Linked DNA regions of Oreochromis niloticus. The protein of the gene in region 1 interacts with the protein of each later gene in a pairwise test. Links are inferred from orthologs where the notes say so. Each region holds a gene or a part of one and is shown in the gene's direction. Other genes may lie near its edges. The genes, in order: sox5, lmo1 and kifc3.

Region 1 (7,909 bases):
AACAAATAAACAGTTTTAGAATAAAGTGTTAGAACTTTCTGCTAGAGGTCAATAGGTGAATTTTTACCTATTGACCTCTAAGGAGCAGGTTAGGTTCACAGCATAAGTTACTGTGGTGATACCCATTAAAAAGGTGAACCACCTTTGTAGTACAGAAAACCCAGAGTCAATCCTGAAGTTGCTTAGATGAGACAAAACCCTGCTTTGGAGCGCAGGCCTCGTTCTATCACAGGGCTAACAGAGAACCCAACAATGATCGTGTCTTTGGATACTGAGCAGAGAGCAGAACACTTGGGAGGAATCCCACAAAGGCACAGGATGAGCATGCAGAAAGACACAACCGGGTTCAAATCAGGAATCTGCAACCTGTGACACTGCAACCAGAATGGCATCAAGTCATCTACTAACTAGACAGTCAGTGGTTTGATCCCAGTGTGCATGTCAAAGTATCCTTGGGTAATATACTAAACTGGGAGTGCCTCCATGCATTCATCAGACTATGACAGTGTGCATGAACATTAGACAAAGTGCTTAGGCATACAATAAAAGTATTATTGTATGTGTAAGGCTTAAGCACTTTAGAAATGTGCTATATACTCTAGGTACAAATGTACTTCTAAAATACCTACTCGAACTACTGGTTCTTTTTTTAATCATCATACAACTTCTGCAGTCTTTTGTTGTCCCTGTTACAACTTTTTTTGCAATACTGTTGTTGGCATTAAGAAGACAAAGACTTACAGGATGATGGTGGTTAAAATTTCTAGCTGTGATATTAAAGATACAAGGGACCTTTAAAATAGAGAAATGATTATATGTTTATACTGTAATAATATTGATAATTTAGCAGTCATCCTCAAGCACCTGAAGGTAAATTGAACTGAACTGAAAAAACAAAAACATCATAGACCTTCAGACGTTAGGGCACACGCAGGCACACTCACACGTATGTAGAACTACACTCACACCATAGGAGAGAGAGACAGAGAGAAAGACAGATCCCTGAGTTACCTAGCTGCTAAACACTGAAGAGAGGAGAGTGAATTTGGAGTGACATCCCAGTTATTGCTCTTGACATTTGTGCATCGTCCAGGCGCATATGTGCAGTAAAAGCCGCACCTAGGGGAAACTCTGTGTGTGTGTGTGTGTGTGTGTGTGTGTGTGAGTGTGTGTGTGTGTGTGTGCGCGCGCGCTGATGAGCTAAGCACAGCTGAGGACAGACAGTGAATGAATAATAAAGTGTGTCAAACCTGACCTATGCGGTCACTCTGCTTAGACTTTCCCTTGTTTGACCGCCTCCCCAACCTCCTCCCTAACACACACAGACAAAGCCTCTTGTGCGCTAACTTTAGAATGATGAGACACCAATGATTGTCTTTGTTTTTCAGCTTTAACATACAGCAGCTATTGAACTGTGAAAGTGAATTGGACAGGGATCAACCATATAATATAGTTTTGACAGCCTTTGAAGCGCATCCGCTCTGCCCCCACGCTTCTGCTGATTGCCCCTGAGCCCTCTTTCTCCTCTGCAAAGGCATACTGTGGCATTTACAAGGTACAGTGGGCAGCGGGACGCACATTAGAAACAACTAAGCATACATGGATGGAGAGCGAGGTAACAGTGATTTAGGGTGAATCATTTTGGTTGAGTGAAACAGTGATGAGTGATGAGTGAAACAGCAAATAAGAAGCTTGGAAAAAAAAGACAATTCGCAGCTGGTGACCATCACAAAGGAAAAAGTAGATCCCGCTAATCAATGTGAAATGCTTAAACGCTAACATATTTTATAAAATATGCTGTTACTAAGTGCAAGACAGGGAAGCTTATCTGGGAGCTACAGATGGCTGGCAAATAAAGGAGAAAACAACAGAAAGTGTCTATTGATCGGTCCTCTCCACCATGATATCGCCAAGCTTTTCCAAGTCTCTGCATCCCAAAAATATGTTTAAGAAAAAAAAGTATATATTTTTGGACCCTTTTAATGATTAAATCAATACCAACAACTTACATCACAATTGTTTGTCCGGATGAAGAATATTCCAGCGTGGCAGTAGACTGTTACTATCGATTTAACAAAAATGAGAGTAGAAAATTTGTGAATGGATTTTTGCTGCAGGCTGGTAGCACCCTTAAAGACTTCAAGAGACTTAATGAGTACTGTACAGCCTGTCCTTCCTGTGTTGTGCATTTGCAGAGAAAGGCATTCTTTCACAGGATACCCGCTCACTCATGTTTTAATGGTGCAAAATAGGCTGAAACCTTTTATACATGTAAAGCAGCCGAGGTCTGACAACGGCAAATAATATGTGATTTTAACCACTGAGTGTGAGTAAATTTGGTTAGATGCTGGGCAGTGATTGCTCTGTATTAGCTTGTGATATTTTCTTGAGAACCTGAAAATGATGTTTCCCATTTCTCCCCCTTTTTGATTTGATCTGCATTTGTGAATGACCAGTGAGCACCTTGCTCTCTCAGACTCCAGGGAAAGACTGACTATTTATCACTGACTCCACCTTCTTGCTATGAGCTACAGCTCGGTCATTACTTACCTTCCTGGTTAAGAAGCCCTGTGTCTGATGCCTGTTTGGTTGTGGCGCCCAGTCTTCCAGCAGCTCCCAGCTCAGTCAGTATCAGCAGGGGGATGCCATTACCTACATATTGTTCTTTGATTGGGCGACTTAGTAAAACATAATTGAGAAAAGACCCTACATCAATCAGAAGCACTCCTGGAGAAAAAAAAGACAAAGAGATAAATCGGTCAAACTACTCAAAAGAAGTTTTTTTTTTTATTTGGTTCAATTCAATTTTATTTATATAGAGCCAAATCCCAGGAACAGTTGCTTTAAGGCGCTACTTTAAAAGAACAGCAGGGTTTTTCCTGGCTAACAATGGGTGTTTATTGGGTGTTATTATGTGCTTAAGCCCCCAACAGGTCATTGCAGATCGGCGCCCCTCCCTGAAACTGCTTCTGCCAGAGTTTTCTTCCTGGTAAAAGGACGTTTTTCCTTCCCACTGTCATCGAGTGCTTGCTCATAGGAGGTTATTTGATTGTTGGGATTTTCTCTTTATTATTGTAGGGCCTTTACCTTAGAATATAAAGTGCCTTGAAGTGACTTTTGTTGTGATTTAGTGGTGTATCAATAAAACTGAACTAAGCACAACTGGCTATGCATGTTGTTTAAACAAGTCTGTGTTAATTTACTTGATGTAAGTCTGCACATTTGCCTGTTGTTTATGGCTATACAAAATCATATTCAACATTTAAAAAATGGCAATATTTGTATCACAGTACTGGTGATTCTCCTTTGGTGAATGGTCATTATCTCTTTGGTGGGTGCCAACATTTTTCACATCCAGGAAAATTGTACTTAACGGCTTATGCAGTTGTTAATGTAGCATCACAAATGTGGTCTAACCCTGTTAGAAAGCCGCAGAATAATTTTGACTTGTGCCCAGCATGCATTTATTGTTATAGTTATTGCCATTTTAAAAAAAATTTTGGCTGAGTGTTAAACAATAGCACAAAAAGTTGTGGCTCAAACTTTAAATCAGACTAGTCCATTTGTGCATTTGTCATGAGTCTCTTCTTATTTGAATACTATCTGATGATTTTCAAGATAGGGAGCAGTGTGAACCCATATGGAATCTTCATGGGGTGTTTTCATGCTGTCATTTTGTGAAATGAAATCACAGTATGTGATCAATATCCATTGATTGACTGAAACATGTGCAAAGTACAGTTTTTAAGCCCTAACCATAGTTTGTACAATTATAATGAGTTTGAAATTCAGTATTTGGTATCATCACCTTAGCAGGCTTTCTTGTAATTTTAAGCAGTCTTTAGAATTAGTTCTCCAGGCTGAGGAACATTTAAAGCTCTTCTTTGGATGGTGAACGCATGTAGTTTCCTCAATTGCTTTAAAGGACAACCTGCCAATATATCCCACATTTTCACTCAATGCATTTGGGAATCACAATGTTGGTGCACAAACACATGCCTGTCTAATTGTCTTATCTTTGGTATTTTTCATAGATTCAGCTAAAGAAATGGATACAAATTATGTGTTTTTGCAACAAACTACTAGCAACAAGGTGCCTACAGATGCTATTTAAAATTGGCTATTTGCTAAATTATCTGCCATGTCTAGACACAACATTGGTTCACTGCTTGAGTTAGGTGTCTTTTTGACACTGGAATGATTCATAGGTCAGTGTTTAAAACACTTCTCTGAAAATGGTCAGATACAAGGACTGGAGTGAAAATGAGTGAAAAAGCAGCCAATGTCCAAACTTTGAAAACCCCTCAGAAATCCTTGAGAAATATTGCTCAAGAGCATAAAAAAAAACTTACAAGAAGGTACTTTGAAAACAAAATACAAAGAAATTTAGTTTGCCTTGAGACTTTTACACAGTACTGTATGATAAATAATTAGCTTTATTTCACAAGTTATCAAAGTCTAATAAATGCATAAGTTGTCCCAATTTCATTGACATGAGCTAATGGTTACAACCAAATACCATTGTCTTATCAAACAGGTTATCTAGGCAAAAACATGTCCTATTTTTGCCTGATATATTTTTCTGTCTGGCTTCTACTTCACAAACCATGTGGCAAACGTTTCTCCTCTTATTGAGTCACTTTTCTGGCCTTCATGTGAATTTTCGCAGTCTGGACGAGGACCAGTTTTTAATTAATTTCGGCACCACATAAAAAAGGCTACGTAACATATAAGAAAACCCCCAATATTTACCGCCTGCCAAATTTACTTAGTTTCCAATGTTCAAGTTCAAGTTAAATTAAGTATGCGATGTCATTTTCAAAAATGAAAAATCTGAATTAAATCAGCCAATGAGTGAACTAGGAAAGAGGGATTTGGACCAATGGGGAAGAAGGAGAGTGGCACTGCGATGTATGCAAATTAGACAGTTTAGTCAAGGTCCTCGCGAGCTTAACAGGTGTGAGAACATTTTTCTTCTTTTTCTTGTTTTTCTTTCTAAAGGTGAGTGTTTTATTCTGAAAGTTGACCATTATACTTCGAGAGCAGTAGACGTACTAAAAAAAGAAATAGTAGCCACAACTGCTTTTAAGCGAAAATATCCCATTTTTGGACTAGCTTGCTTTCATTGTAGGTCAAAGTTTAGCCTCGGGCTAAATGTAAACGTCACCAAATCATTTAAATGACTGACTGCAACTATTCCGGCTCAAGGTGTGGTTTCTCCCCCGCAGTTTAGTGCAGGGCAGGTGACACTGAGGATTTTACATTACACGTCTGGGTTTTTTTTTTTTTTTTTTTTTTTGAGTAAACCCACCTACTACAAGGCAACATTTAAAATTGGTATTACTTGCTAGCCTGGTAGTCATTCAAAGGAGCCGTACTTACTGTAGCTGGCAGAAACCTGGTTCTAAGGGTGACCGAGGCAGATGGAATATAAAGCTTGTGGTTTTGAAGTGTTTTACAACTTATGATAGTGGCACATTTAAAGTTATTCCTCTTGACAGTCTACAGCTTCAGGTCAGATTTTACCTCCTATGTTTTAGATTTTACCTTCTGGTTGCACATCAGTTGTAGACTTTTAATAGTTAGTTCTTGGTAAGAGAAATGTCTTGACTTGAGGAGTAGCTGTTGTGAAGAGGAAACAAATGGACTTCTCCTGCCCTTAGTGTCTCAGCTTTGTGTAATTTGCCCAAATCTTGTCCTGTATGTGTGCATGCATGTGTGTGTAATGTGAAGTGAAGTGAAGAGAGAGAGTGGAAAAGAGGTGGTGTGGCAAGAGGGAGAGAGAGACAGAGAAGTGACACAAATCAATGTGAGCACCCAAACCACCATCACCAGCAGCAGCAGCGGCGGCAGCAGCAGTCTTTCACCCCCCTACCGACCTCCATCACCTCCCTGTCTTTCAGTGAGAGAGACCAGTGGAGAACGGGAGTCACAGGAAAGACGGGCTCCTCAGCAGCGCAGCATCCGGTAAGTCGTTAAAGAGCTAGGGATACCTCCCACCATGCAGTCAAAGTTGCAGAAGCGAAGACAATAAGGGCACCCTGGCAGTGCGACTTTGCTCTCCAAGGCTCAGAGTGTGCAGAACAGGGTACACAGTCATGGATGAGCACCTTTTTAAATTTTTAAACCCCCACCGCACAGCTTCTCTTCGCTTCTTCTGTGACGGCTGCTTCTGTTGCAGCTACAGCACAGAGAAAATATCGCTTGGAAGAGGACAGCATGAGAGAGCCGCCGCTGGTCCTCCTCCAGTCATATGTTTTAAAAGCCTGCTGGGGATTAGGGATTGGATTGAGGGAGGCTTTTTTCCGCCAATCACCGCCCTGCCTCTCAAAAAGCAGGAGAGGGATGGTGGACGAGCGGAGGAGAGAGAGCGGTAGTTCTCTAATGCTGTAATATTTCTATAGATACTTACATTTTGCCCGTGGCTTTTGTTTTTGTTGACACTGTGGGTCTGTGTGGGATTAATTGTATCTATCAGCAAGCATGTGGAAAACTTTTCTTAAAGGGCTGTGCTTATACTGGATTTAGAAAATTACACGTGCATGAGTTGTACATTTGTTTTTCTTTGGTGAACAAAGAAAACCGTCAGTTCTGCATTTGCGGGGAATCAGCTTCAGTTGAATCTTTAATTGTTCAAGGTTTTCAGCAGAATATTTTGGGTTTATTTTACTTTTTTATGGCTGTTTCTCATTTCCTAGAAGCTGCTATCAGTAATTTTGCTATAACAGAATTAGCTGAGTTTGTCATTTGGTTTGGTTGCCACGTTCGTCTAAATTATGCATCCACTTTGATGGCTTTAATCAAACTCCATAGGCTTACAGAATGAAGGGCAGCAGGGAAAATGGTTTAGCACAGGACTTGAGCTAATGTCAAAGCTTTCAAATTAGGACAATCATAGTAACACGATTATCTACAAGACAGTGATTGAAGGGCAGCTTTATTCAGTATTAAAATTGTTTGATTACAGTGAGAAAAGCTTGGCTTTCTAGTTTTGGCTGGTTTTGGTTTTCAGTGTTGTTTCACAGCAAGAAGGTCCTGGGCTCCACTTCTGCTTGGGGCCTCTCTGTGGGGAATTTGCATGTTCTGCGGATACTCTCACAGTCCAAAAACATGGATGAGGTGATTCTAAATTTGTCACATGAATCGTTGTCTGTCTCTGTGCGTTAGCCTTACAATAGATTGGTGACTTGTCCAGGCTGTATGCTTCTTTTCACCCTATGACAGCTTGGATAGGCTCCAGGCCCCCACAACCCTGAATTGGATAAGCAGATGAAGATCGGTGGAAATTTTATGTTCAGAATAAAACCCTGACCATCAGTAGTGACCTCAGGTTTATGTGACCTTTTACCACTCTTATTTAAGCCAATAACAAACAAAATAGTTTTTTGGATAAACAATAAATCCCTGTGAAAATGAGTTGTGGTATACCTAACTTTATCCACATTTTCATGTCTGCATTGCTTTGTAATTTCACCTCCAAAGAGTTACATCACTCCTACAATACCTCACTAACACCACTAGAATAGAATAGAATAGAATAGAATAGAATTCAACTTTATTGTCATTGCACATGTCACAGGTACAGGGCAACGAAATGCAGTTTGCATCCATCCAGAAGTGCTTTAGCCATGATATAGATATATTACAATATATATTAGCAATAATATAGATATGTAAGTATATTACAGAAATGGGTCTATTATGGTATGTTATAATGTACACGGTATGAAGTATGTTATGAATATTCTATAACTATAAGTATGTACAGGCTGTAGTGAGTACAAGCTATGTACAGGCTATGAACAGGATATAAATATGAAAAACTATACAGAATATGAAATAAAAAACTATACAGAAATATGAGATATACAGTTATACAGAAATGTGAACTATGCAAGTTATGAACAGT
Region 2 (7,875 bases), on another chromosome or scaffold:
ACAAAAGAAATCCAAAGGGCAGCTGTCATCTCTCTGCTTTTTTATTGGACTTCTGCAAAGAAGAGCTCCACTTCATACAAAGACCCTTCCAGTTTCCCAGACACCAACTGGCTGACGTAGCACACTTGATTTGAACCAGAGCAGGGAAATCAGAGTGCATTAACACTGCATGTAGAAGGCACTAACTGAATGATCCCAGCATTATGTGGCCTCTGGTCTGGCCTATCTGCGTAGTTTGATGCATAATTTGAGCATTAATGTAATTTACATTTTCACACAGTCCCAAAAGTAAACTGATTAGTCGATAGTTATCTACTAATGTGCCAAGAGGACCCACGCGTCACTTGCATCCAGACAGGGACAGGATTACACATGACAAGGTTGGCCTTGCAGGAACACAAAGAGACAAAGCCTGCCAGAAGGACAGACAACAGAGAGTGGTACCACACACATATACACACAAAGTCTAGCACAAAATCTCGTGAGGTAAATGGCTGTCGTTCAGGTTTGCCAGTGTAGCATTTCTTAGTAACTGGATCCATCTTTCTTCTTTGTTTTCAAGGACCTTCAAACAGACCACACCAATAAAGAAGGAGAACCGGAAAGATAAATCGAGAGGATAAAGAAAAAAGGTTCACAGTTATGTTAACGCCAACAAATATGGCTACGCAGACTTTTGAAGGCAGCCTACGTACATTAGTCAATCTAAAATTCAAATTGAGAAACTTATTTAAAGTAGTGCCAGGCTGTCAAATGCATATTATCACAGCAGAGTTTCTTCTTTTTCATTGGACAAATTAGTGCCCTCCTAGATGATAGAAGTGCTTTAGAAAAAAGTGCAACAGAGTTGCAGTCCCATGATGCAACGCTCCCAGTGGTTACATCTGCTCCATTCTTTCATCTTTCTCCATTGTTAGGTGGGAGCTGTCACATTAGGAGGAGAATCGTGGCTCCTTCCCACCCCCAAGTATCCCTTTTTTCCCATTCCAGCAGTTGGCAGGGTGGCAGGCCCATACAAAGGAGCATGCACCAGGAGCACAGAGGGGAGCACCGTTAGAGGAAAAACAGTTTGGGAATTAAGGTCATTAATTTTCCACTTTCAAGGGCTGCCACACAGACGGAGATAAAGTCAGCATAAATATTCTGCCGAAGTTTCTCCTGTTTTTCTCCTCTCCCCATTTTCATCGGCAGCCCATTTATCTCCATGCTGTCAATTAGAGGCAAAAGCAAAGAACTAATTAGGAACTGTGCAATTTTAATTAGCTGTTTTGATAATTAAACTAATTGGTTCCCTTGTGTTTCTGCAATGTGTGCTGAGAACTTTTTTGATATCTGGGCAGCAGATTTCCTATCCGCTGGTTAATTAGTCACTTTTGCATTAAAAAGGAGCCTTCCTTAATAGCCTTAATTTGCAGTTGAAAAGAGAATCTACCATCAATAATTTGTGTAATTGGTAACCGTTTGATTGTAATTTAGAGGCACGGCCGGACAGCTCGGCATGTCTAATTCCTAATGACTAGGATTAAAGTTGGATTAACTGTTTGGGAAAGGGATTCACTCTCCCCTCTTCCCTACCCACCAACTGACACCTTGTCTACATGTGATTGGTCATGAAATTCAAATTGACTAGGTGAACAGCAGGGTTTATACTGTTTCTATATGATGAGCATGCCAGGTTACATCAAAAAGATTCCAATAATTATTATTTTCCACACGAGTAAAAGATGAGTAAAAGATGATTAAAAGAAGAGAAGAAAAAGTGTTAGCAATTTATTACGAGATGTGTTAAAAATCAGCTATCAAAGCCCTTTGTGAGCAAGTCTGAGGGGAAACATAGCCGGGATCAGCCACTAGGAGGAGCAGAACCTTAACTCTCAGGGTAACAAAGTAAAGCAGGCCTCACTCTTGAATGTAACTTTATTTGTGTAGTTTTTACAGATTTTCTCTGACTATAAGCACGGCACATTTACAAACAGCACACAAATGTCTGCCTTTAAGTCACAGACCTAAAAACCTCAAGTCACGTAGTGACTATACTCTATTTTTATTTTTCCCTTTTGCAGTGACCTACCAAACCAGTTTTTCCTACAGTACAGAAACAGAAACACGAGGGAAATCACGCCGATGTTTACAGGTGTCAGCAGAATGCCAAAATGCATTCAAATATCGGTGGAAGCTGGAAAAGCCTGGACTAAAAGCATATCGTTCAGCATCTTAACTATCAGGCACTATCTCTATACTTTTACAACACTGAGCCCCGTCAGTGGTCTGATTAAAAAGCACCATTCATCCCACTTAGCCAGAATACAATTAAGGGACATGGCTTTAAAAGCCCAGCCCTGAAGCCTCTCCCCATCCCACATAAAAGGAGCACTCTCCACTGAGCCTTGCCTGTAAATATCATGTTTGATATGAGGTTTTAATCTGCTTAGCCATTCTGAACTATAGAATGGGCTCATCCTCTCTCTGAAACCCCTGTCCAATGGCTGTGTGCCTGAGGACGAATAGGAACACAACACTAGTGTGCTATCTGATTAGGTGGGGTTAATTACAGAGCACTGTTTTGTAGTGGTTGCATTTGAAAGCCGCCCATAAATAGATGGGCATGGCTAATGCATGCTCAGAAATGAATTTTAATTAACTGTGTATCAGAGAGGCCCACTCAGGGGCCTGTTTCTAGTATTTACTGACCTAGCTGCTGGATGTGAAGTAGGAAAGGGTCTGCACCCAAGACAGAGGGCTGAGAGGATGAGCAATACACCGTGGCCTACCTGGAGCATGTATCACAGGTATTATAATTTATAATTGATCATTTTAGATTTATATTAATGAGAACTACCTTTAGTGAGAACCACTGCTCAACTTGTCCGTGACTTCACATATGTTAAAACAGGACTTTATATATGGTCCTGTCAACACCATATAACTCCAAAATCATCACAGACTGATGGTTGGCTAGGAAGCGAAGGCTTTATACTGTAATGCACTCAGTACCCTTTTAGCGTCACTTTTCACTGTGCAGGGCAGTCTGCAAGACAACATGAGCTAAAATGTTCTTCTGGTTGTGCAACCCTGGTATCCAAGGACATGTAGCAGTCACATACATAGTCATAAACATAAAAGATGTCAGAAAACCTTGTTGGAGATGGCATACGTTTGTCTTTTAACATGTGTGAATAAATGTGTGGTAGTGCATCTTTTAATACAAACCTTGATTTTTTTCTCAAACTTTAACAATGTTGTCTTGTTACTTAAACATAATGACATAATTTTATTGTCTAGCCCAAACCAAGCAGCAACAGAAAAGTCAAATATGGCAATAAAATGGATTCAAAAGGGGCTTCCCGGTGTGTTCAAATACGAAACTAAAATATGACGACCAAGCTGGTGACTTTAATATACACGGGCACCTCTCATCTACAAGAAATTTTTCATAGCAAGCAGGGTCTAGTGAAACAACTGTGTCAAATCCACAGGAATCCACAAAATGGTGTTCACATTCAAAACTCAAATGGCTCTCTGAAGTGGAGCCCTGATGATACTGAACCATTCTTCCCATTTCCTTCCCAGTTTTCCGTGTGATTGGATTAATTATGTGTCACTCACTTTGCTAGAGGTCAGCAAACATACATTCTCGGTCATAAGTCATCAATCTATGTGACCGTGGAGATGAAAAGTCAAGCGTGTCAGCCAGAACGCTATACAGAGAAGGATCAGCCCATTGATTTGAGGGCCAACCCAATCTCACCACAGCCTGCTGCGCTGAAAACTGAAATTATCCCTACGGGCCATGTACAGTCAGCTTTATACCTTAGATTTGTAGTGCATGATCACATTAGAAAGGCCTATAAAATGTTTATTTCAAAAGCAGAGCAGGATAATTACAGAATAATAAAGCATGCATAGTTCATCCACTGCAGACTAGTGTTAAAACAGAACCTATAATCAACTCAAAACCGGAGCAGTTTAGCTCGCGCTTCGTCATCAAAGTTTTATCTCACAGATAAGCTTTCACCACGGCAAAGTTACTGAAAATGTGCTCCGAAACAGTTTTGAATAGAAATTGCATTATTATCGCAATTGTTTATTACAATAATTTGCTTATATGGGAGCTAATGATGATATGCCTGGAGGAGGTCTGTAATATGTGTGCAAAATGTAACAGAAGGCAAGGACAGACTGAGCGAGCTCACACCACAGACAGCCTGCTGGCTGCTGACGAACCTACATTATTGTAGCTATACTCCACTCTACTCTCCTAAATGGCTAATCTTTGTTGGATCTCACCCTTAATTGGTTAACAGTCTCCGCAGGGCAAGTGAAAGTGGTGCTATTTAAGGCTCCACCATGAAACAGCAACACTTTCATCTTGGCAATAACAGGCAACAATTATATTACCAGATTCGAAACTGAACCTTCTATCTACCCACTAATCAAAAACGCAGCCCATCTGTTGTGCTGTCTTTTGAAACGACTGTTTATCTGCAGCCTGTATGATAACTGTGTCTGGACACTAATTAACTGCTAAACAGACCACAATTAGATGCTATTTCTATTAAATTCTGCAGAAGAAAAAAAGTAGGGAGAAGGGGGAAAAGAAAAAAAAAAAAACAATGAGCGCGTTTTATGTTTACTCAAACTGTACCAGTGAAGCACTATTGCTCTCCTTCAATGTCTCTCTTCCTCTCTCCCTCTCTCTCATTCTCCCTGAAACATGCACCCGCGTGCGTGCGCACGTGCATCAATACCAACTTAGGTGCATGCGCGCTCTCCTTCTTTCTCCCTCTCGATCGCGCACATTCAGACTGGCAGGCGGACCAGTTACATACACGCACACACACACATACACACACTTTCCCTTAGCTGTGCTTTTGTGTTTTGTCAGAATTAATGAGAAAAGTTCCCTTGCCCTAGGGGTAATTAGTGTCCTTGGAGTTAAATAAGCTAATACTTAGACACCTCTGGCACAAGCAATTATGTTTGTGTATTGAATAATTGATTCAAAGAGGGGGGAAGGGCTGCTAATCAGATCTGAGCATAATGAATTGATTTAATTAACAGGGGAATCCGAGGGTCTCTGGAAACTGCGCGCATTTATTCAGTAGCAGCAGAGGCGAGCGCGGCACATAAACTGGGAGAGAGGCGGCGCGAGTTTGCTTTTAGCAGTTGTCAGATTTGCAATTGGATTTGTTTGAATATAGTTGCCGTTTCGGAGCAAATGAGAACGGGAAAGAGAGAATATTAAGAAGCGAGGAGAGCTCAGCCGTTCAGTCTGAGCGTCTGATCCGACCGTGTGTGCACAGTTACAGATAGGCGACACTAGATTTGTATCGCTTTTCATTGTTTTTGCCCCCCTCCTCCTCTTTTTTTTCTTTTTTTATTCTATTCGCATGGAATTTATCAAGAGCAACCGACGCTGTTTGATCGCTATTTGTTTGCGCTGCACTTCAGTCCGGATAGGGGTTTCTCGTCGTGTTTATCGCCGTATTCCGTGTGTGAATTATTATTGATAGGAGGGAGAAAACGCGCAGACGGCAATTCATCTTTCCAGGGTTTCGGTTTATCGAGGCGTAGTCTAGTCAACCGCGCGTTTCAAAGCCATTTCCAGGAGAAGCTGTGAGCACACCGAGCGGTGCAGCCTGCTGGAGCCGAGGACGGATCGCCCGAGGAAGGACTCCTCGTTCCTCAGGACGATGGTGTTGGACAAGGAAGAGGGTGAGTAACGTCTACCACCGTAGGATGCTATAACCTAGGGAGTAACACGGCAAACTACTGACATTTTACACGCTGAGTGTTTTTTCCCCGTCGCCCCCCGGACCCTGTGCACCGGCAGCCTCCGCTTAACGCTGGCTTTTTCAACCCCATTCAGTCACGATGGGGTCCGGGCGATTTTTTCTCTTCCTCTCCCCTCCTTTTTTTGTTAACTAACAATATCGTATGTGCTTTCTGTACCACGAAGTTGATGCGCTCTTCCACAAAAACCCTACAAATGCCAAACTGCAGTTCAGTTAGGGAGAGTTTATTATAAACGGGATTTGTTTGCAGCTTTTTTTTGTCTTTCTTTTTTTTGACGTGTGAGCCAGAGTTTGATGATACTCCACACAGACTGCAGTGCATGTGGCTCCTCTTTTCTTTCCTCCTCCTAAGTGCTTTTTGCGTCTGTGAAGTTGGCGAGGCAGCCCTTTGACATCACCACGGGATGGGAGATGACAGCAGAGTGCTTTTAACTTGATTGCAAATTATGGATAGCGCCTGTGCAGCGTTCGCTCACTTTCCATCCAAATAGGCCTACTTGCATTACTTATCTATTTCAATGTATTTAGGTTAATGGGTGAGGCAATCTAATTAATTTTAATTTAAATCAAATTCGCCTCTAATGACGTCCCATTTTGGATTAAGCCGATGTTGAGATGTGTGCAGTGCATCCGTCACATTCGGGTCTGTTTAGTGCATATGCTCTGAACACATTTGCACAACCTGATCGAGATGAACTAAAAACCAAGTAGGTGTGTGTTGCATGTCTTTATTCTGTCACTTCTTTAAGAGTATTTTGAGGTCGATTTGCTGACAATACAGACCACCTGCTGGCATGCACGCTGACAGCCACCACAACCATAAAACACTTCTTTTTTCCCCGTGTGTGCGTGTGTGTGTGTGCGTGTTATTTCTCAAAGTACGGGATATTTCTCTTGTACACTCCAGTTTATGCAGGGCTCCTCCTCCTCCAAAAGTAATGGATGCATCTGTGACCCATTATTTATGTTTGAAAATGGATCTTTCATTCATCTTAGAGGAGCATCCTTTCACTTACACATCCAAAAACCAATAAAAGGACTGCGGTAGAGACATAAATTGGTCTGTCTGGCTGAATCCATGTTGTGCTGCTAATGTACTCAAATTAACTCAACTGTAAATTGTCTCCTTTGGATGTCTGTCTTGCTAAAAGTTCCCTATATGATTCATGATTCAGATTGCTTTTAACAGTTATTGGCTAAGCAATATGGTAAATGTACAAGGTGATGCAAATGGCATTAGTGGGAAAGGATGCACAGGAGCATGTAATGCAGTCAATACTACATTAACTACTGATGCCCAATTACAGAACCAGGGAGAGGCTTTTAGGAGCATTAGGACTTGCAGAAAAGCTGAGATCACCTGCTGCTCATTGCCTAAAAGCTTCACCCTTTATTTGCTGGGTCCAACCAGCAGCTCCAGCATTTTGGCCAGGTTGTCAGCAGAGCGGCTCGGGTCTGGTCTCTTTCTCTATGATGCCTCTTAGCGTTTATTGGCTCCAAAGTTATAGGCTTGTCAATTCAACCTTCACGTCTAATGTATCCACTTAGTGCCTGCGCAAACAGATGCGCGCGTTTGTGGCAGTGGAGGTGTGGGTCTAGGTGGCCACATGTGTGTTTATGTGTGCTTGCTCTGCATTGTTGTTTTGGTTTTTTTTGTTAGTTTATTTGTTTTTTGTTTCCTTGATTGATGTACTACTATGCCCGTGTGCGAGTCGCCTAAGTGTTCATATTTCAGTCCGTACGCGGCCTATAAAACAGATCATCAGTGTGTCTGTTCTCGTGTTCAAAGCCAGCGATCCAAGTTGGCAACAAAGTAATGATGCTGCTTGTTTGGCAGACCGTTTTTGAACTCTGACTCCTCTTAGAAAAGTCTGCAACAATTTGTGCTGCAAAAGCAATTACCAGAAACGAGCCTCTGTGACTGATACCAGTTCTTTTCCCACTGCACAAGTTTGTCACGAGTCGAAAATGTAAAATAAAAATTTGTGACGCACCCCTGTCAGCTGTCATTGAAATACTCGTTCTGAATGGTTTCATGTCGGATGCAGATACCTGTGGATACTGTGTGTAAACTTAGCTC
Region 3 (7,301 bases), on another chromosome or scaffold:
TGCTGCTGCAGTGGTGAAAAGAGTAAAAAGGTGGGAAGAAGACGGAGGGTGGAGGGAGACAGGAAGTCAGGACTACAGAGTAGAAATCGGCCTACAAGTGCAGTTCATGTGCTGGTTTCTCTGGTTTTACTGAAACGTGTCTGATGTGCTGTTTTTGTTCCTGATACATGAATAAATTATAAATGAGAGCGCACGCGCTCGGTGACAATAACAGAACCGTTACCAGCTCCGGGTCTCCATCCTGAACCGAGGCTCATCCTGGTAACTTCGGGGTTAACCCCTCTTACTGCCGCGATCACCGCCACTGCAGACCAACCTGCTCTGGAGTACGTCGTGTTTAAGGTCGCTTTGGTCCTGCTTTTGTTCCCTGTAAGATCTTTAAAAAGGAGCAAAGCAGAGCGTCCTGCACACATCTAAGGTTAATTTGAGACGATGTGTAACTGCTCAGCATTCAGATCCTCCCACTGCTTAATGACAGAGCTGTGATGGCGGGAAGGCCGTTATCTTCAGAGTCAGGTTTTTTTTTTTTGGTTTGCTTTCCGTCTTTTCTGTAAATAAACTGTTTATATCGTCTTTTTCTCCTTCATGCAGCTCCGTCCTCTCAGTCTGCAGCAGCTGTGCAGGGTGTTTATTCTCTTCATAGTTTCTAATCCTGAGACTTCGTCAGTGAATCTGTTTGTGGAAAGTCCGCCTCTCAGAGCTAAACTGATATTTCTGGGTCAGACTTCTCCGGCCTGATAAGGAAAAATATCCTGGGTGTGTTGAACTGGTTTGCAGCCCATAAACCATTTATTAAAAAAACTTTGCTGAAGGATTGATGTGATTGGTTCAGCTGTGTTTGTGGGGGCTACTCTGAGATTTCTGGACAGATGTGCTTCAAAGTTGTCACAAAAATGTCTTCTTTTAAATACTAACTGAGGTTTCATCTGATGTCTTCAAGAAAATATCAAACTAAATGTCCCCAAAAACAAAAACCAAACAAACGTTATTATTTTAAGCTGAATTTAAAAGTCTGTGACGGGCAGATGACCCTCCAAAGGAAAAAGCTCCTCAAATAAAAGCAGCAGGTTTCCGGTAATCTGCAGCAGGTCTGAGCTTCTTACAGTCACCAACACACCTGAGACATGAACACATGCCTGCACTGCCCCCCACAGGACAAACACAGTAACAACACATGTGAATCCTCTCAGTCTGACCTTGTTATCTGTAAACATTCCTCTGTGATTCACTTGATATAAACATGAAGTCTGAGGTTCATGTGGAGGGAGGGTGTGAGAATGAAACACCGGGTTATTTATCCACATTTATCTAATCAGCTGATCATGTTGCAGCAGTTTGGTGTGTAAACATTTTCCATCGCGTGTGTGTGTGTGTGTGTGTGTGTGTGTGTGTGTGTGTGTGTGTGTGTGTGTTCCTAATAATAAAGGCGAGTCTGATCTGATAACTGACACTCCTCTCCGTGTTGAGGTCATTAACTTGCCACAGCCCGCTTTCTCTGGAAGCCTTTATACCTCTGATTTGATCAGTTATTATTTGATGCCGCGTTCAGGTCACCTCGAGAACAGGAAGTGGTTTCAGGCTGGGATCTCGTTCTGTAGTTTTCTCTTGTTTCTGCAACGCATCATTTTCTTCCTCGGGCTCTGACTGAAGTTTAGAGAAAACGGCTAAAGGAAAATCCGCTCATCTCTAACACACAGTCCCAGTCTGAGCACAATTTAATCACAATAAAAAAACATAAAAGAAGATACCAATAACAGCAGTCAGCCTGGTTTAAAGCTAGAGAATAAAAACTGGCTTTCAAGCAGGTGTTACAGTTGTCTGCTGACGGAGTGGCAATTTATTCTGATTTACTGCGGAGCTCAGTGATTGGTGGAAGGAGGCGCCAAACAGCTCAGGTCAGGAAGCCAGCATGGATGACTGTCGTCGTGCCACTTTGAAGCAGCCGTAGTCGATCAAAGTCTATGAAAGGCTGTCTCTCTTCCACAGCATGTCTTTATCCTGTCTTCTCTCACCTCAACCAATCACAGCAGATGGCCCCGCCCCTCCCTGAGCCTGGTTCTGCTGGAGGTTTCTTCCTGTTCAAAGGGAGTTTTTCCTTCCCACTGTCACCAAAGTGCTTGCTCATAGGGGGTCATATGATTGTTGGGCTTTTCTCTGTATGTATTATTGTAGGGTCTACCTTACAATACAAAGCACCTTGAGGCGGCTGTTGTTGTGATTTGGCGCTGTGTAAATAAAACTGAATTGAATTAAAACAGAGCAGATATTAGATTCTGCATTAGAGCCCTTGTGGGTAAAATAATAAATCAGTTCAGTGTTTTTTGTTTTTGTTTTTTAAAGTCTGAGATTTAAAAACTACAAATGTACAAGGAAGAAAATCCACTGATTTTCTAACTAACACTCGCTAGAAAATTGTTTTGGAGCTGCTGTGAGTTTAAAATAAAACTACTGATCGGGAAAAAAAACTGAATTTACAAGAAAACAGTCGTGAAAGTAACGAAGCCGATAAAAATGTCTTAAATCTGAGTGGGATTGATCTAAATTTACAAATAAATGTGAGGACGGAATTTAAGAGTGCATGTTTTCCCATGCTCCCTCGTTAACAGTCGACCCCCTTCTGTCCTCATTCTTTATTGTTTACCATCAGCTGTAGAATAAACCGCTGCGTGTTTGAGGAGCACGTTTGGACCTTTAGAAATTAAAACTAAAGTCTTCCTTGGCTCATTGAACTTCTGCAGGAACTGTTAAAAATCTCTGAGATCTCTGGAAACTCTTCGATGACCCCTGGACCTTCCTCGTGAGATTTTTCTAACGTGTGACCCTGAGTTTGGACCGCAGCCCCGCCCTCACCTCGTTAGCGTCCTGAAAGGGGTCGGTGGACCGGAAACGTCCCCCTTTTGTTCTTGCAGGAACGTTTCCAGAAACTGTCCCGGCTCTGTTTACAGTGAGCTGCAGGACGGATCGCTGCTATATGCAGCAAGGTCTGCAACCAATCAGAGGCGAGCGTCAGGATTGAGTGGCTGTGATTCAGACCGTCAGCTCCCACTGGGTCAAAGTCCCAGCATGCCCGGCTCTGTCACATATGTCACCTATTTAGGAGAGGTGGTCGACATCCCCACGACATGAAAGAAAGAGGTCACTCTGACCTAAAACCCTTCACTTTACCAAAATAAAAGCCTTTGGGAAAGTAGATGAGGCACAATGAGCAGGTCACTGTTTCCACAATAAAAGCCTTTAATGATTTTCCAATCTGCACATTCAAAATGAGACTGTAATGTCAATCAGATTGTCCCTGTCACCAAAATAAACGCTTGTTCTGATCTAAAATTATACTTAAATTTTGAAAAGACTGAAGTCTAAACTTTTCTGGACTATTCTACCAACTAGAACATCACTGCTGTCAAAATAAAAGTCTTCTCTCATCTAAAATTATAGTTGGGACAGCACTTTCCAAAATAAAAGGCTTTTCTTCACTCTAAAAATCAGCCTTTACAGATTTTTATGACCAGTGTGCTGCAGTCATGTTTACTGTACTCTGTATTTCTACGGTCTCTTTATTGAATAAAAGTGCTCCAGTAAAGTGAAAGTTACAGAGATGTGATCAGTTTAAGCAGTGACTACAAACGGATCAGTGATCAAAGAACTGGAAGTAATCCTGACTGTTATTAAACGTGAAAACCGGCACGTAGCTCATCCTGAAGATATTAACATAAATCCATCGTTTAGTGTCGTGCTGTTACGTCACCGGCGATCCTCTGCAGTTTTATCCTGCAGCAATAACAACAGATGGTCCCGGGACAGAGGGAGGGAGGAGAGGAGGCCCCTCGAGCTCTTTCTCTGATCCACTCAGTCTGATGGAGGGGAAGACCCGACCTGCCACAGAGGAAACAGTTTCCTGCACCTGCTGCTCATCCACAAACTCTGTGAGGAGAAGTTCTCTGACTCCACGCAGGAGCTGGATTCGTGCTTTTCCTGCAGGTCTGCAGAACAAACTTTGGTTTTTTTTTTTCTTGCAGTGGACCTCAAGGTCAGAATATCACTCCAGGGAAAACTCTGCTGAAACTTTGCATCTTGCTCTGCGTCCGTGTTGCACTTCGAATCACTTTTCTCTTATGTGGGGATTTTTGTTTTTGCTGCACGCCTCTGCAGCCTCGCTTCAGAGCAGGAGGCGTTTGCACAGTCTTGAGTTTCAGTGAGAAACTGAAACTGGCGGCTGCAGGCTCTGGTTACCCGTCTTGATAACCGTTGGCGTGACAGCAGTGAGGAGGACGGGACAAGGTTCAGAAGCTTTTATCATCTGATGTGATGTTGACGGGGCGGGGTTCGGGACAGAGGTGAACAAACACAGCAGGATTTAAACAGCTGATCCTTTTTAGAGGAAACATTTAGAGCGAGGATCGTCAACCTCAGCGGGACCCAAACGAGACACCTGTGAGCTCCCACCTGGGCTGGAACAACCCTGTGATGAAACCAAGCACCCACCCGAAGCACCCTAGAGTCTGAGGGTGGGGCGAGGGGTCATGTATGTCCTGTGCACCCTGGCGGTTCTGACGCTCCACAACCTGATTAAGAACCGGAACAAACCGGAGCAAAACCGGTCCACTGAGGCCGCGGGACGGGAAGGTCGTCTGAAGGATGGGAGCGCAGGCGACGGGTGCTGGGGGGTGTCCGGGACCCGGGATCGAGTGGATGGATCAATGATCCGCAGAGCTGAGGGGAAGAGGAGGCGAGGGGCCATACACAACCTCCCTAACAGCAGGAAGCAAGTCCAGGTGAGGAAGAGGTCGGGTTCAGACGGCGTGCGGTTTTAATTCCTGAAAATATTAAAACATAAAAACTTTAAAAACAAGTTTGGGAAACCGGGGACGCACTTCTAATTTTAGAAGGAAATACGAACTTTTAGTTACATTTTAGGTGAGTGTGAGTTTGCACTTATTAAGGATTTACACCCTGATTTCACCCTGATAATCACCTCCGAGTGTAAAGTTGAACCCTTCATTTATCAAACAGGTGACGTACAGCCTGAGAGACTTCACAAAAATGAGCATTAAGACCTTTGCAAAACTGTCACATGATGAGTTTTTGAACTAAAGTACTTTATTTTATCTAGTTATAGACTGATTTGTTTGCATGTAGAAATATTTTTACTTTATTTCCGTTGGCCTCACTTCAGCTGGACCATCAGGTGAACTGGACCATTTGTAGCCTGAAGCTTTTACACCTTTAATTTGGTCAAATTAGTTATCTAATAGAATATAATACTGCGTTTAAACAAGTAAATCTTTTTAAAATTATGATTTTGTTTCCATGAAAATGTGATCAGTCTATAATCTGAATGAGGGGGAAAAAAATGAACCAACAGTAGAAACAGAATTTGAATTTCTACTGTGTGCAGGAAGATGGCGCATAAACATGATTGTCATTATTTTTAATCAAAGAAGTAAATGTTGTTAAAACTGTAACCATAATGGTCCCAAATCACAGCGGCAGTTATGAGAGCTCGGAGTGTTTTTGTTCTCAACGTTTCAGTATTTATGAAATCTACTTTGGTGATTTTTATCGAGCTGCTTTGAATCCTGCTGCTGTCCAGAAGTTTCCACAGAGCAAAGTCGGTTTGCTGATTCATTTATTTATTTATTTATTTAGAAGCCTGACAGAACGACTCCATGAGTGACTGATTTTATTAGTGAACAAGCTGCTCTTATTTTTGAAAAGTCAGCCACTTCTAACCAGTTAGCCCAGTTAGAGGTTAAACATTTGAAACCCACTGAGGAGAACGTGAAGCACAGGATGCTTGAGGCTCTAACCCTGCAGGCACCAAAATTGAACGAGTCCTTTCTTTGAAGCGTCGGGTCTCGCTCATCTTTGCATTTCCTGATTAATCCTGCAAACAGTAAAACAGACATGGGTCAAACCCGTCCATGGAGGGATTATACAACTCTCACACTAACGCTCCTAAAGTATGAGTTACACTCCCGGCCGACTGCTCGGTGAAGACTTCAGTTTTCGTTAATGAGCGACTCGTTGCACGCGGACACAAACTGAAGGCCCTGACACGTATTCACAGACGGGACTCGCGTGATTTCTGTGGGGTAACGCTTAAAGAGCAGGACTTTCACTTACAGTGGGGTAATTTTATTTTCCGTGTCCTCGGGGGAGGACAAGGCAACCCTTTGTTGTTCAATAATCATAAAGCTGTGATTCAGCAGTTTTTATCTGAACTTGCTGACGGACTGAGGAATGTTTACAGCTGCACAGTAAATGTTATCATATCTGAGTGCAGCAGTAAAATGTCACTAAATGTTGTAAATATTAAACTTTACGGGGAGTTCTGTTGTTAGGCAAAGGTAAATCTGCTCTCTGATTGGCTTAAAAATCACCTGTCTGAGACGAGAGGTCAGCTCAGCAGGGTTTACGCGGTCAGTGACTCAGACTTGGTGGAGCTCTGATATCAACACAGGTATTATTTGATTGTGGAAATAGCCATAAAATGATAGCAGGGCTAACTTTTACTGCTGAGTGTATTTTGTGATGGACTGTTGTGACGCATGTTTGGGTCTTATTGTCAGATTTGTGGTGTTGTGCGGTTTGCTGCTATTAAAACTATAAGTGCGCTTGTTTTACACTCAGGTAAGCTGGTGTGAAATACTTCACAGGTGATGAACCTGTATGTGCTCCTGTATGAGTTAACAATTATGTGTCGGCTGTCAGAAACAGCCCCACCTGCTGGTCATGCAAACTGATTGCACTTGTGTAGATGGACGTGAATGATGAGCTCGGGACGTGTGTACCAGTCTGACAGCTGGACAGATGTGGAGTCTGAGCCAGAGGACGGACTGTGAGGATGATCTCAGATTTCACTGTCCCACCCTCCGGAGGCGCTAGAGAGCATGGAGCAAATATGTCATTTGAACTGCTTGTGAACATGCATTTACCTCTGTGCGTTTATTTTAGTCCCCCTGGTTTACTTCAGGTAATAATCAACCCCAGGAGACATATTTGTGTAGTCTGTATGTGCGGGGACAGGCGGGCACGAGTGTTGTTCAGATATGGTCACTTTTTAAATGTTTTTCCCATAACTCTAACACTCTGACGGGTCCCGGCGGCTCCTGTTGATGCAGGTTTTGATGTTCAGAGGCTTCATGTTTGCTGGTTCCAGTTAAATCTGATGTTTGTCACAGGACATTCAATCACATGATATAAATGTCTGAAATCCTCTGGCTCCTTATAGGGAGACGGCGTTCAGGGTCGAGCGCGTCGGTCACATCAGTTATGTAACCAAACATTCATCATCATCCTTT

Evidence for each region.
Region 2: the proteins of sox5 (region 1) and lmo1 interact in binary tests that used the Homo sapiens proteins (3 or more experiments, as listed by UniProt). The two-hybrid records come from large-scale screens. The link is inferred for Oreochromis niloticus from reciprocal best matches to the Homo sapiens genes SOX5 and LMO1.
Region 3: the proteins of sox5 (region 1) and kifc3 interact in binary tests that used the Homo sapiens proteins (3 or more experiments, as listed by UniProt). The two-hybrid records come from large-scale screens. The link is inferred for Oreochromis niloticus from reciprocal best matches to the Homo sapiens genes SOX5 and KIFC3.

What each region holds. Positions count from the first base shown.
Region 1 is NC_031981.2:4,135,698-4,143,606, forward strand, and holds the start of sox5 (transcription factor SOX-5), read left to right. Parts: upstream 1-4,898; 5' UTR 4,899-4,913; coding exon 4,914-4,957; intron 4,958-5,733; coding exon 5,734-5,967; intron 5,968-7,909.
Region 2 is NC_031965.2:20,035,909-20,043,783, reverse strand, and holds the start of lmo1 (rhombotin-1), read left to right. Parts: upstream 1-4,831; 5' UTR 4,832-5,693; coding exon 5,694-5,715; intron 5,716-7,875. UniProt on the Homo sapiens protein: May be involved in gene regulation within neural lineage cells potentially by direct DNA binding or by binding to other transcription factors.
Region 3 is NC_031965.2:37,985,305-37,992,605, reverse strand, and holds the start of kifc3 (kinesin-like protein KIFC3), read left to right. Parts: upstream 1-4,229; 5' UTR 4,230-4,520; coding exon 4,521-4,772; intron 4,773-7,301. UniProt on the Homo sapiens protein: Minus-end microtubule-dependent motor protein. Involved in apically targeted transport. Required for zonula adherens maintenance.